Ovis aries: one gene and its partner. The protein of the gene in region 1 interacts with the protein of each later gene in a pairwise test. Links are inferred from orthologs where the notes say so. Each region holds a gene or a part of one and is shown on either strand. Other genes may lie near its edges.

What was found.
Region 2: the proteins of L3MBTL2 (region 1) and MEAF6 interact in binary tests that used the Homo sapiens proteins (3 or more experiments, as listed by UniProt). The two-hybrid records come from large-scale screens. The link is inferred for Ovis aries from reciprocal best matches to the Homo sapiens genes L3MBTL2 and MEAF6.

What each region holds. Positions count from the first base shown.
Region 1 is NC_056056.1:218,192,169-218,198,475, forward strand, and holds the start of L3MBTL2 (lethal(3)malignant brain tumor-like protein 2), read left to right. Parts: upstream 1-2,499; 5' UTR 2,500-2,566; coding exon 2,567-2,590; intron 2,591-4,397; coding exon 4,398-4,638; intron 4,639-6,158; coding exon 6,159-6,292; intron 6,293-6,307. UniProt on the Homo sapiens protein: Putative Polycomb group (PcG) protein. PcG proteins maintain the transcriptionally repressive state of genes, probably via a modification of chromatin, rendering it heritably changed in its expressibility.
Region 2 is NC_056054.1:12,340,624-12,346,895, forward strand, and holds the start of MEAF6 (chromatin modification-related protein MEAF6), read right to left. Parts: upstream 3,999-6,272; 5' UTR 3,991-3,998; coding exon 3,901-3,990; intron 2,707-3,900; coding exon 2,591-2,706; intron 1-2,590.

The DNA of each region.
Region 1 (6,307 bases):
ATTCCATCTTAAAGGGAGGTTGTTGAAAACTGCAACAACAAAGTGTTGAGGAAACTACCCTGGTGGCTCAGTGATTAAGAAGACTCCTTCCAACGTGAGGGATGCAGGTTCGCTCCCTAGTTGGGGAATTGAGATCCCACATGCCACAGAGCAACTAAGCCAGTGCACCCGAACTACCGAACCTGTGCACTCTGGAGCCCATGTACCACAGTTACAGAGTCCATGTGCCGCAACGAAAGACCCCGCATGCTGCAACTAAAACCGAGTGCAGCCAAATAATTTTTTTTTTTAATTTCAGGGTTTATATTTCTAACTCAGGACTCTCTGGTGAACTCCACTACCTTCTTGCCCTCTTGGAGGCATATCAGGCTAAGCAGAACTCCTAATTCCCTCTATTCAACCATCCAAACTCACTTATTCCTTGTACAGTTTTTACCCACTACAGAACATGGTCAACCCATCTGACACATTTACCCAGTCATTCTGGATTCCACCGTCTTCCAAACCTACTCCATACAATTAATTACTGCCTCCAAAATACTTCTCAAATTCTTCTACTTTTCTGCACGTCCTCTAAGTCTGCCCTGGTCCAAGTCACCAGCATCCCTCCCCTGGATCAGCACAGGAGCCTTCTAAGTGGTCCCCCTGCTGCTCCCTTGATCTACCTCCAACACACTTTCCATGCAGCATCTAGAGAGTGAGCTCTTAAAACAAAATCTAAACAATCTACTTATTTCCTTAAAAATCTTTACAGGTTTGTGGTTACATTTTTCTGCCAACTAGGGCCCTTTACCTCCTCCTCTAAATTCTTTGTCTGGGAACTTCCCTGATTGTCTATTGGCTCAGACCCCACAATCTCAATACAGGGGGCCCAGGATTGATCCCTAGTTCAGGAACTAGATCCCACATGCCACAGTTAAGAACTCAAATGCCTCAACTAAAGCTCCTTCATGCCACAACTAAAGATCCCCCATACCACAATTTAGACCTGGTGTAGTCAAATAAAAAAATACATAATTTTTAAAAATATAGGATACCTTTTGGTGGCAGAAGAACCAACAGTACTCGTGGACAGCATGGGTATGTGGTTGGAGGTAGAAAGTCTTGAAGAAAGCAAATAAATTAAGAAAGACTTTCACATGTATCTAGTGGACCTCAAATTTAGAAATATATTTAACACATGTCAAGGCCTACTTATTATATTTAGATTCTCAATTAAGAGTATAGTATAGCATAGGCAAAGAATTTGGAATAAATCTTGAATTCCAATCAAATGTGATCTTAGAAAGTGTCTAAACCCAAAGGGCCACTGTTTCCTCATTTGTGAAACAGTGACTGATTGTCCCTGATTTAAGATGTTTGTAAAGCTCCATGATAGAATTTCCTTGATGGCTCAGTGGTAAAGAATCGCCTGCCAATGCAAGAAACAGGGTTCTGATCCCTGGTCCGGGAAGATCCCACGTGCTGTGGAGCAATTAAGCCTGTGTGCCACAACTAATGACCTTGTGTCCTAGAGCTGGTACTCTGCACCAGAGAAGCCACGGCAATAAGAAGCCCACGAATTGCAAGGAAGAGTGGCCCCCACCTTACCCCCACCTCTCTGCAACTGAAGTCCACACAGCAAGGAAGACCCAGCACAGACAAATAAATGAATATATATTTTTTTAAAGCTCTACTACAGCACCTAGAACTGTGAGTAAGGACGGTTGTGGGTCCTTAAAGACCGTTGTGGGTCCCAAAAGAATGAGGCAGAGAGCCTCATATCTGAGGTTTATTTCAGGAGATGGTGATGCAAGGTAGAGTGTTGCAGAATTTTAAGCATGTGGGACATTTATACCATTGGACCTAAGAGTGAGTATTCCAGTTTCTGCCTAAACAGGGAACAGTCTCTCTGCTAGGCATCCCCGCACTAGGGCACGTTTAATTTCTCATCAGGGAAAGGGCGAGGTTTTTCCTGGAGGGTGCCTGAACAGTACTTTCTTACGTGAAGTCACTCAGTCGTGTCTGACTCTTTGCGACCCCATGGACTGTAGCATACCAGGCTCCTCCCTCCATGGGATTCTCCAGGCAAGAGTACTGGAGTGGGTTGCCATTTTCCTTCTCTAGGGGATCTGCCCGACCCAGGGATCGAACCCTGGTCTCCTGCATTCCAAGGCAGACGCTTTAACCTTTGAGCCACCAGGGAAGGTTGCTAGTACCTTCTTAGGTACTCAATAATTGTTTAATGAAGAACGGAGTCGGTGTGATAGCAAGAGGTTACCGTGGAGAAACAAGAACTATCCTCCCGGGTCAGGCAGGTCTGGGGCGGGGAAATTTTCACGGCGCCACAGCAACGACCCCCTCCACGCGCAGCCCAAAGGAAACTACAAGTCCCATAAGCACCCGCGGCTTCCCCGCCTCCAGGGGAGGCGGGGCTCAGGCCAGCGCGGAACCGGCTTTACCTCTTTCCTGCAGCGTGATTGGCCTTCGGCCCTGGGAGGCGGCCAATGAGTAAGCTCCGGGAGAGCGGCGAGGCCAATATGGCTTCCTGCACCTGGTGACGGTTGAAGAAACTGTGTTAGGTCTCATGGAGAAGCCCCGGGGCGTCGAGGTGAGAGGGAGAGGACTTCTCGGAAAGGGAACCCCGAGAGCCTCGCTCGGTGGGCCTTTGAGCGACGCCTGGAGGGTGGAGGATGGAAGAATGGATAAACAGGTAGTTAGGCTGAGCAAGGCCAGAGGCGATTGGCATCGCCTTTTGCTCCCGTTCTCCTGGGTCCGAGTGAGGTTGAGGGAAGAACAGCTTCACTGGCCTGGGGGAAGAGGAACTGGGTTCAGGATATGAGAGCTCCTGAATCTTCCTTCTCCCCCTTGTCTCATGGTGGCCTCTTTAGGGACTGTGAGGCCTGTCACATCCTGGTGGGAAGTAAAGGAAGATTAAAGTTTAATAAACACTCCGTATCTGGAGCGTTCTCGTGCGTTATCCCACAGTAACAAGTCCTGTGTTATTGTCTGTTTTTTATGGATCATGCACCTGAGGCTTGGAGAGGGTAGTGCCACTCCCCAGGAGGGCCACGCAGCTGTAAAGTGAAGGAGATGGGCACTAAGTCTGTCAGGTTCCAAAACTCTCCCTGTTTTGCTTTTCCCATTCTTCCCACCACCTGCAACCCATATATCCTTTCATCATTTGGCTTCTGGTTACCTTATATTTGAATGTCCTTTCTGGCACATTTGCATATGTAGTGTAAATATAAAGTGGAATCGCTCACAAACTCTCCGAGAGTCAAGAAGAATCATCATCAGTGTAGAGTGTGAATGATAACTCCCAGTTTCAGAGCTGTCACTGACTGCTGGGAACAGAACTAGGCTTTACATAGCGCCTGGGTGCGCACAGCAGCACTCTAAAGAAGGCTTGTTACAGCCATTGTACTGATGGAGAAACCGAGAGCCCTAAGTAGGAGAGCCCGGATTCCAGCTCCGGCATATCCGATTTGAGTGCCTGTGCTTTTAACCAGTAATGATCACCAGCATTTATTGAGCACTTGCTGTTTGCATGTCACTATTCTGAGTGCCTTTCCCATAGTAACCCTTACTTCTCCCCCAAAGCCTATGAAATAGGTGGAATTGTCCTCATTTACAGATGGGGAAACCGAGGCACTGAGATTGAACTGCTGCAGGTCATATAGTAGGGATGGTTTTGGAGTCTTGGCCTAGAGCCCAAACGCTTCACACCTTTTCTGCTACATGCCACGTAGATTCATATAGAATACCTCATTTCACATTGCACATCTTTTGAACCAATTTTTTTTGTTGTTGTTTTATAGATGAGAAAAATGAGACCCAGACAGGTTAAATAACTTGCCCAAGGACCCACAGCTAGTTAGGATCAAGGCTAGGTCCAAAGCTAGGTATGTCCCACAGTGCTAGTATGTCATTTGCCTCAAATCCTCTTTAGGGCAGTCTGGGCCCCAAATTAACTTTCGTCTGACTTAAATTGTTTTTGAGTTGAAATTACTTTGGTGTATACCTGCTGAAGGGGGAAGAATGAGTTTCTGGAATACATCTTTTCCAGAATGTCTTCACGAAGCACCATGCTTAGTATATTTTCACATCACTCTGTTCTGTGTGAATTGTGGTAAAATGTCGTCATGTATAAATCCGCAGAGGACCCTGGTGAATTCCTAATACATGTTTCTGTCTGGCTAAGGTATTCTTTTGACTTGCAGTTGAGAAAGGTATAAACAAGAGTAATGATCCTGGTGTTTACGAAAGGGGTGTTTGATTGTACCTGCCGCTCGGCCCAGAAGCGTTGACTTGACCAGGACCTGGAAAGGGAGTTGATAGCAGACCTGCAGTTTCCCTTGTCTTACAGTAAGCCAACCACGATTGCTCCTGCCTGCTTTGTGTCATCCTTTTCCTAGGAGACTCCGTCTTCAGAACCGATGGAGGAGGAAGAGGAAGACGATGACCTGGAGCTCTTCGGCGGCTATGACAGCTTCCGGAGTTACAACAGCAGTGTGGGCAGTGAGAGCAGCTCCTATCTTGAGGAGTCAAGTGAAGCAGAACATGAGGATCGGGAAGCAGGGGAGCTGCCCACCTCCCCGCTGCATCTGCTCAGCCCTGGGACGCCCCGGTCCTTGGACGGCAGTGGTTCTGAGCCAGGTGCCTTCAAAGTGTCCCCCAAAGATAGGGAGGTTTCAGAGGCTATGGATGGAGAGGCAGATGTAGGCCAGGTGGGCGGAGCCGTCCAGGTGTAAAGGGCTCTTTGATCTGATGTCTAAGGACCTGTGAGAGAGACAGAGGCACCCCAAGTATCCCCAAGGGTCATTTCAGTCTGATTTCAAGTTGTGATTTCATTCTTTTCTCACAATTAATATTCATTCAGCACATATTAGATGCCGATCATTAACATGGTGGTGCTTTTGCGTTTGTGTAAATAATAATAGTTGGTGGATTTCTAAGCCTGGGTCTTGAGAATATACGACACCTAATGTGATCTGGTTACTCTCTGGGAAGGGACAAGAAATAGCTCGTGAGTCGGAAGTGAGAGGCAAGGAAATACAGAATTAAGTGACCTCCAGGTAAGAGGATGAGGGCAGATAAGAATCCCTGTGAATCATCTGGAAGCCAGTTGGCGTCAGAGGTGTGATGCTTGTACAGCTGCTGGACCTCGGTGTCAGGGCCTCCAGTGTGGGGACTGCCTGTGCAAAGAGGCAGGTTAGATGGTCTGTGATGACACTCCTGTTTCTTGGTCCCTTTACTCTTTAGAAGAGAAGCATCTAATACTCTTTGCCTCTCCATTCATCCTGTCTTCTTTTCCTCTCTCCCTTTTTATTTTTATTAAATTATTTATGTTACTGTTGGTTGCGCTGGGTCTTCATTGCTGCACGCGGGCTTTCTCTAGTTGAAGCAAATGGGGGTACTTCGTTGTGTATGTGGGCTTCTTGTGGTGGCTTCTCTTATTACGGACCACAGGCTGTAGGTGCACGGGCTCAGTAGTTTTGGGGCACAGGCTTAGCTGCATTGTGGCACTTGTAATCTTCCCAGGCCAAGGATCAAGTCCGCCTCTCCTGCACTGGCAGGCAGATTCTTAGCCACTGTACCACCAGGGAAGTCCTGTCTCCCCTTTCTTTTATTTTTCTCCCTTCTATCTTCTTCCAGTCATTATCTTAGAATCTTAGGACTAGAATGAACTATTAGAGACCATCTAGTCTGGGGATGCACTCACCTGGCCACACATTAGAATCATCTGGGGAACTTCTCATAACCACTGATGTCTGTGTCCCACCGCAGAGCAGGTCATTCTAATCAGGGCATTTTTAAGTGCTTTCCAGGTGATTCTAATGTGATATCAGGGATGAAACATTGATCTAGTTCAGCCTCTTTAGAGATGAGAAGAAAACAGGCCCACAGAAATTAAATGATATGGGTACATTTTTGTCTTCTCATTTTCCTCTTTGCAAACTTTCCCCAGTTGTCCGCAGGGATTCTCCTTAGCCCCATTTTGACACAGAGCCAAGGGATGCCACACAGCTTCAGGGGTACACACCCAAATTGCTTCCTCCTATTCCAGTTCTGTCAGCCTTAGGGGGTTAATGCAGTGCCCCAGGTTTGAAGGGCCCATCATTTTGTTTGAACTGGGGTGATGATCAAGGGAGTCACATGCTAAATTCTCTTCCCAGCTGTCTGTGAGATGTGTGGGATCGTGGGTACCAGGGAAGCCTTCTTCTCCAAGACCAAGAGATTCTGCAGTGTCTCCTGTTCCAGGAGCTACTCCTCCAACTCCAAGAAAGCCAGTATCTTGGCAAGATTGCAGGTGAGAGGCAGTCAC
Region 2 (6,272 bases), on another chromosome or scaffold:
ATAATAAAATAAACTTTTAGCATAAAAAAGTGACAGTACTAGACCCCAATACACTGGGGGGTTTTTGGGTTTTAAGTCCATGCATCTACAAGGATTCTAGAGAGAGGGAGACAGAATGAAAGGGAAAGAAGATAAAAAGGGACAACTCTGCTTTCAGAATGCTAGTAACAAATGCAGAAGGAGCAGTGAAATTAGAATCATCATTTTGCAACCTCCTTTATAATACCTGATTCAGGTAAGAATCAACAATGGACACTAAACCCAGAGACACAAACTGGGGGAGGAGCATATCCACACTTCTAAAAAAGTATAACCTCTGAAATTAACTGTCAATTATGAAGAGAAAAAAATAACTTTTGCAATTGTGAAATTACATAATCAAACTTAGCAGCACCAACAATGGGCCAATCTGTCGTTTTGAGCTTTCTGATAACAGAAAGGCAAACAAGGACTTCCCTGGTGATCCAGTGGTTAAAACTGCATGCTTTCACTGCAGGAGCACAGGTTCGATCCCTGGTCAGGGAACTAAGATCCGACATGGCATGGGCAGTCAAAAAAAGAGAAAACAACTGGGAGGTAAACAAGAGGTACATAATCAGTAATGCAACATTTTTGCCAAAAGTATTTAAAGGATCCCTCATGAAGTCACAACAAGAAAAACCTACAATTTGTACATTCTACAAGATAATGTCATAAACAAGCTCACCACTGAAAATGTTGCTGCTGCTGCTAAGTCGCTTCAGTCGTGTCCGACTCTGCGACCCCATAGACGGCAGCCCACCAGGCTTCCCCGTCCCTGGGATTCACCAGGCAAGAACACTGGAGTGGGTTGCCATTTCCTTCTCCAATGCATGAAAGTGAAAAGTGAAAGTGGAGTCGCTCAGTCGTGTCCGACTCTTAGTGATCCCACTGACTGCAGCCCACCAGGCTCCTCCATCCATGGGACTTTCCAGGCATGAGGACTGGAGTGGGGTGCCATTGCCTTCTCCATGAAAAGGTTGGGAAGATCCTAAATTAAGAGACTAAAGACACATAACAGCCAAATGCAATGCACAAACACTACCTGGTTGAAAATGAGCTAGCAATGCATTTTGGGGGCCATTAGGGGAAATATGAATAAAGACTGTATATTAGATAATACTATTAATGTAGTGCTAATTTTCTAGGCATAATTGTGGTTACGTTAAGAAAGATGCTCTTATTCTTAGGAGGTATCTGCTAACACAATTAGGGACGAAGTGTCCAAGATCTGCTTTTAACTTTTGAATGGTTTAGCAGAAAGTATAATACACATATATGGAAGAAAGGAGAGATACAACTACAGAGGGGTGGCAGGAGGCAGATCTTTGTGGTGACAGAACAGTTCTATATCTTGACTGCGGTGGTGGTTACAGGAAGCTACCCACTTGATAAAATGATAGAACTAAACTTACACATTGTACCAAGGTCAGGTTCCTCCTTTTACCATTGTACTAAATGGTTACATAAAACCCAACCACTGCGGAAGACTGAGTGAAGGATATATGGAACCTCTCTGTATTGTTTTTTGCCTATGTATCTATAATTATTTAAAAAAATTTTTTTTTTTAATTTTAAGTATAGATATGGGGATGTATGGGTTTCCCTGTTGGCTCAGATAGTAAAGCATCTGCCTGCAATGCAGGAGACCAAGGTTCGATCCCGGGGTCAGGAAGATCCCCTGGAGAAGGTAATGACTACCTACTCTAGTATTCTTGCCTGGAAAATCCCATGGACAGAGGAGCCTGGCAGGCTACAGTCCGTGGGGTCAAAAAGAGTTGGATACCACTGAGTGACTAAGCAGGCATGCCCGCATAGAGTGTGTGCTTGTAAATTACAGAAAGGGAAGAGAGAGAAATCAAACGTGACAGCAAGCTAACTGGTGATCGGTGAAGGAGATCAAGAGATCATGAACTATTCTTTCAATTTTTCTCTAGATTCGAAAATTTTCAAAAAAAAATTAGAACATTTTTAAGAATAATATTACTAAATAAACCATGGCACAGTTGGCATATAGGTAGGGCAAATCCTGTGAGGGTGGAACTCTTGACTGATTAAAATGTACAAAATAGCAAGAGGCATGCTGGTATATAAAGTATTATATGCTGTATTCCATTTAAGCCTCACACAACCCTGTGCCATTGGCCAGACTTCCCCTACTGTGTAGGATTTGTCCAGGGTTACTCAGTGAGGCAGGGGTTGAACCAGAGACCAAGCTCGAATGCAGACCTCTGTCCACCCCACCTTACTACTGCTTCCCTCCAAAGCTACCGCCAAGGACATACATAGTCCTGATCACAAATACAGTTGTTGCTGTTTAGTCGCAAGTCGTGTCAGATGCTTTGAGACCCCATGGACTGCAGCACACCAGGCTCCTCTGTCAGTGGGATTTTCCAGACAAGAATACTAGAGTGGGTTGGCACTTCCTTCTCCAGGGAATCCTCCTGACCCAGGGAAGGAACCCACACTTCCTGCACTGGCAGGCGGGTTCTTGACCATTGAGCCGCCAGGGAAGCACCAAATGCAAACATTAGTAGGGCACAAAGCAACACTACAGGCTTCTGTCACTCACTTTTGGTTGGTCAGATACCGATCCCAGCCACGAATAATGTTGCCGTACATCTGCGTGTCTTCCAGGTAGCTTCCTTCAAAAGCATAGATCTGTCTCTCCAAGTTTGCCAGTGTTTCCTGAGGTGAAAGACAAGGAAACAGTTGATGCCTTTTACATGCAAGCATTAAGTCGGACCAAACTGACATCCTGGTATCAGGCTTAGAAATTCAAGTTCAACGACACCGAGTCAGCCTTGTGGAGAGAGGGATGACATGGGTAGGGGCAGGCTGTTTCAGACAAGACAGTCTAGACCTGTCTTGCTGGGTGCCTTTAAGAATAAAATGAAATAGATTCTGTCCCTAGAAAAATGTACACCCAGGCAAAAGTCTGTATATACTCAGAGGCTTCGTGGAAACCCAGCTGTCAAGAAACCGCGGAGGAAGAAGGTGAGCAGTCTCCACTCCCACGCATAAAAGACACCGCTACCGGAGAGGGAAGGGTGAGCAGCCTTCCAGCGCCAACTCGCTCGCCTCCCTGCAAGCTCCGAAAGGCCGCCTGCACCGGGCGGCCGGTTGCTATGGAAACCTGGAAGGGCAGCTTCAGGTAAGATGCGCCTCCCGGTGCTCCAGCCAAAAACGCAAGGGGAGGGACGGCTTAGCCACCAGGGAGCAAGGGGCCCCAGGCGCGTGTCACAATTTCTAATTCCCTAGGCTGAGTCCGCTCCCCCTCACCTGTCATCTTCTAAGAAGTCCCCGAACACATCCCACGCCTGCCCATCAAAAGCCCCATCCAACGGATCTAATCCTATTCCCCGCAAAGACATTAACGCCCCTCCATCCTCCAAAGGTCAGAATGGATGTGTGGGTCTCCCCTCCCACATCCGTCTCCTACCCCACCTCCCCAGAGCCCACAGCCAAGCCGGAGCCGATCTCCTCCACCCTGCCGGCACGCTTGCCGCCCAATCGCTCCAAGAGCCCAGGGCCGCCCGCCCTCATCCAGCCCGCGGGGCTCGCGGACCCTCGCCGCCGCAGGCTCCCACACGGAAGCCCCCACCCGCGGGCGCCAACCTCCCTCCACGCCTCCGCCGGCCTAGCCTCCCTCCCCCTCCCCCGCTCCGCGCCCCGCCCCCGGCTCCCGGCGCCAGATCCGCCCGGCCGGGAAGCCGAGGCGCCGGCGGGCCGCGCAATGCGCAGCCGTCCTCAGGCCGGCGGACTCCCAGCCGCCGCGCTGCGCCCGGGGAGTAACGAACGGCCCGGAGCGGCCGGGCCCGGGCCCGGAGACGGGGGCAAGCGCGGGGGTTTCACCCGGGCACCCCCGGTGCCGGCCCTCACCGCCAGCTCCTGCTTCCGCTTCACGAGCTCCGCCAGCTCCCGCCGGGTGTCGGGGATTTGTGGCGGCGCCGCCTTGTTGTGCATCGCCATGTTGGGCTGAGGCGGGCGGCGGCGGCGGCAGCGCTAGGCTGGGGGCGGTCCCTTCGCGCCACCGCCCGCCAGGGGGCGCCCGCCGCCACACTGCGCCTGCGCGCGCGGCTTCCGGAGGCGCGCTGGGCGCCCCCCAGAGCTCCCGCCGGTGGGCTCGCAGGACCCCAAGGGTGCCCTCTGCCCTAGGTCCCGGCCGCATTTCTGCACTGCAGACTCACCGTGTCCAAAATAAGACTTCTCGGAAGTCTCATCAGTGAATGACTTTTAGTGTCCGCGGAATTACTCGAGTCAGAAACCTTTGTACCGGCCTCACCCTTCTTCACCCCCTTAATCCGATCCAAAACCAAGTCCTCTGGACTTGACTCGAGCAGAGCTCGTAAATCTGTTTCCTTTTGTCTGCCACCTCCCTCATTCATCCAGGCTCTCGTTTTTGGAGACATTCCAACAGCCTCCTGTTTCTATCCTTAGCTCGATTTAATCCATTATCCAAAGTGGTGCCAGGATGATTTGTTTTTAGAAAACAAATGTGTCACCTTCTAGGTAAAAACCTTTCAGTGGCTCCCTATTGCCCTTTAGAGAGACAAGTATGTGCGGTGGTTAAGGGCACAGACGAGCTGGAACAGACACCTGGCTGGTGGCAGAAATGGAGGAGGAGGAACAAAGCTGAGGTCTGGGAGATGATGATTCTGTGAGTTTTCAGACACAGAAAACAAATTTACCATTACCAAAGGGGAAAGAGGGCAAGGAATAAATTAGGAGTCTAGGATTAATATGCAGGCACTACTACATATAATATAAATAACCAACAAGGACCTACTCTATAGCACAGGAAACTATACTCATTGTATTGTAATAACTTATAAAGGAAAATAATCTGAAAAGATTCCATATATGTGAATCGCTTTTCTGTACACTTGAAATTAATACAACATTGTGAATCAACAATACTTCAATAAAAAACTAAAATTTAAAAAACGCTACCTCTACCATTGATGAGGCTGGGCCACCTTGAGCAGGTAGCTAAATTTCACTTGTCTCAATTTCCTCATCTGTATAATGGAGGTAATAATAGTGCATACTTAACACAATTGCTGTAAGTCTAATGTTGTTATGGAAAGCTTGGCCTCTCCATACACTAATGCCAAATCAAATCTTGGAGACAAAGTTTTGAGTGAAGTAGAAAAGGAAGGCTCTATCACTTTGCCAGGCAAAGGAAGACAAACTGGGCTTCTGTCTCGAAAAACTATGTGTTCCACCCTGGGAGGATGTGATGAAGGGTTTTATAACAATAATTCAAAACTACCCTCTAATGGTGGTGCTAAGGCTTCTCCTTGCGGTGGCTCCACTTGCTACGGAGCACAGGCTCTAGAGAGTTCAAGTTCCAGTAGTTACCGCACGTGGGCTCAGCAGCCGTGGCTCCCGGGCTCCAGGACACAGGCTCAGCAGAACCCGGGCTTAGCTGTCCTGCAGCATGTGAAATCTCCGTGGACTAGGGATCGAACCCATATCTCCTGCATGTTAAGCAGTTTGAGCATAGGTTGGTAAAGAATTTCCAGACACACAGCATTCCAGCAGGGAGCGAGTATAAGAATGAAGAGCAGAGATAAAGTAGGCACCGAGAGCACAGTGGGCCAACCTCCTAAGAGACCAGGGAGAGTTGACGGCTTTTGTGGGTTAATAGCCAATTTTTATAGCCTCAAGCCAAAGAAAATGCCTGCTGCAAGGTTGGTGTTAGGTGATTGGTTGGGGTGCTATAAGGTGTTTGCTGAAGTGGGCATCTTTGCCTGACTGGGGGTCAGGAAGTCAGGGAGTCTTCTGAAAACAAAAGGGGCTCAGTTACAAAGGGGCTCAGTCAGCTTCAGAGGTGACCTTGGTTCTGGGCTCCGCTTCTGTGGCCTTGGGGGCAGGACTCAACACTGCATTGGTAGGCAGGTTCTTTATCATCGAGCCACCAGGGAAGCCTCTATTCATGTTTGATTGCACTGGGTCTTTTGCTGCTGCAGAGGGCTTTCTCTAGTTGCAGTGAGTGGGAGCGACTCTTCCTTGCAGTACACAGACTTCTCACTGCAGTGGCTTCTCTTTGTTGCTGAGCACGGGCTTCATAGTTTGGGCTCACAGGCTCTAAAGCACAGGCTCAGTACTTGTGGCACACGGGCTTAGTTGCTCTGCAGCAATGTTCAAATCCTCCATTGGGACTTTTTAAAATAGACAGTCATTTCATCTGCAAACAGGGAAGTTTGTTTTCTTTTTTCCCTTTCCAATCTATGTGCTGTCTATTTCCT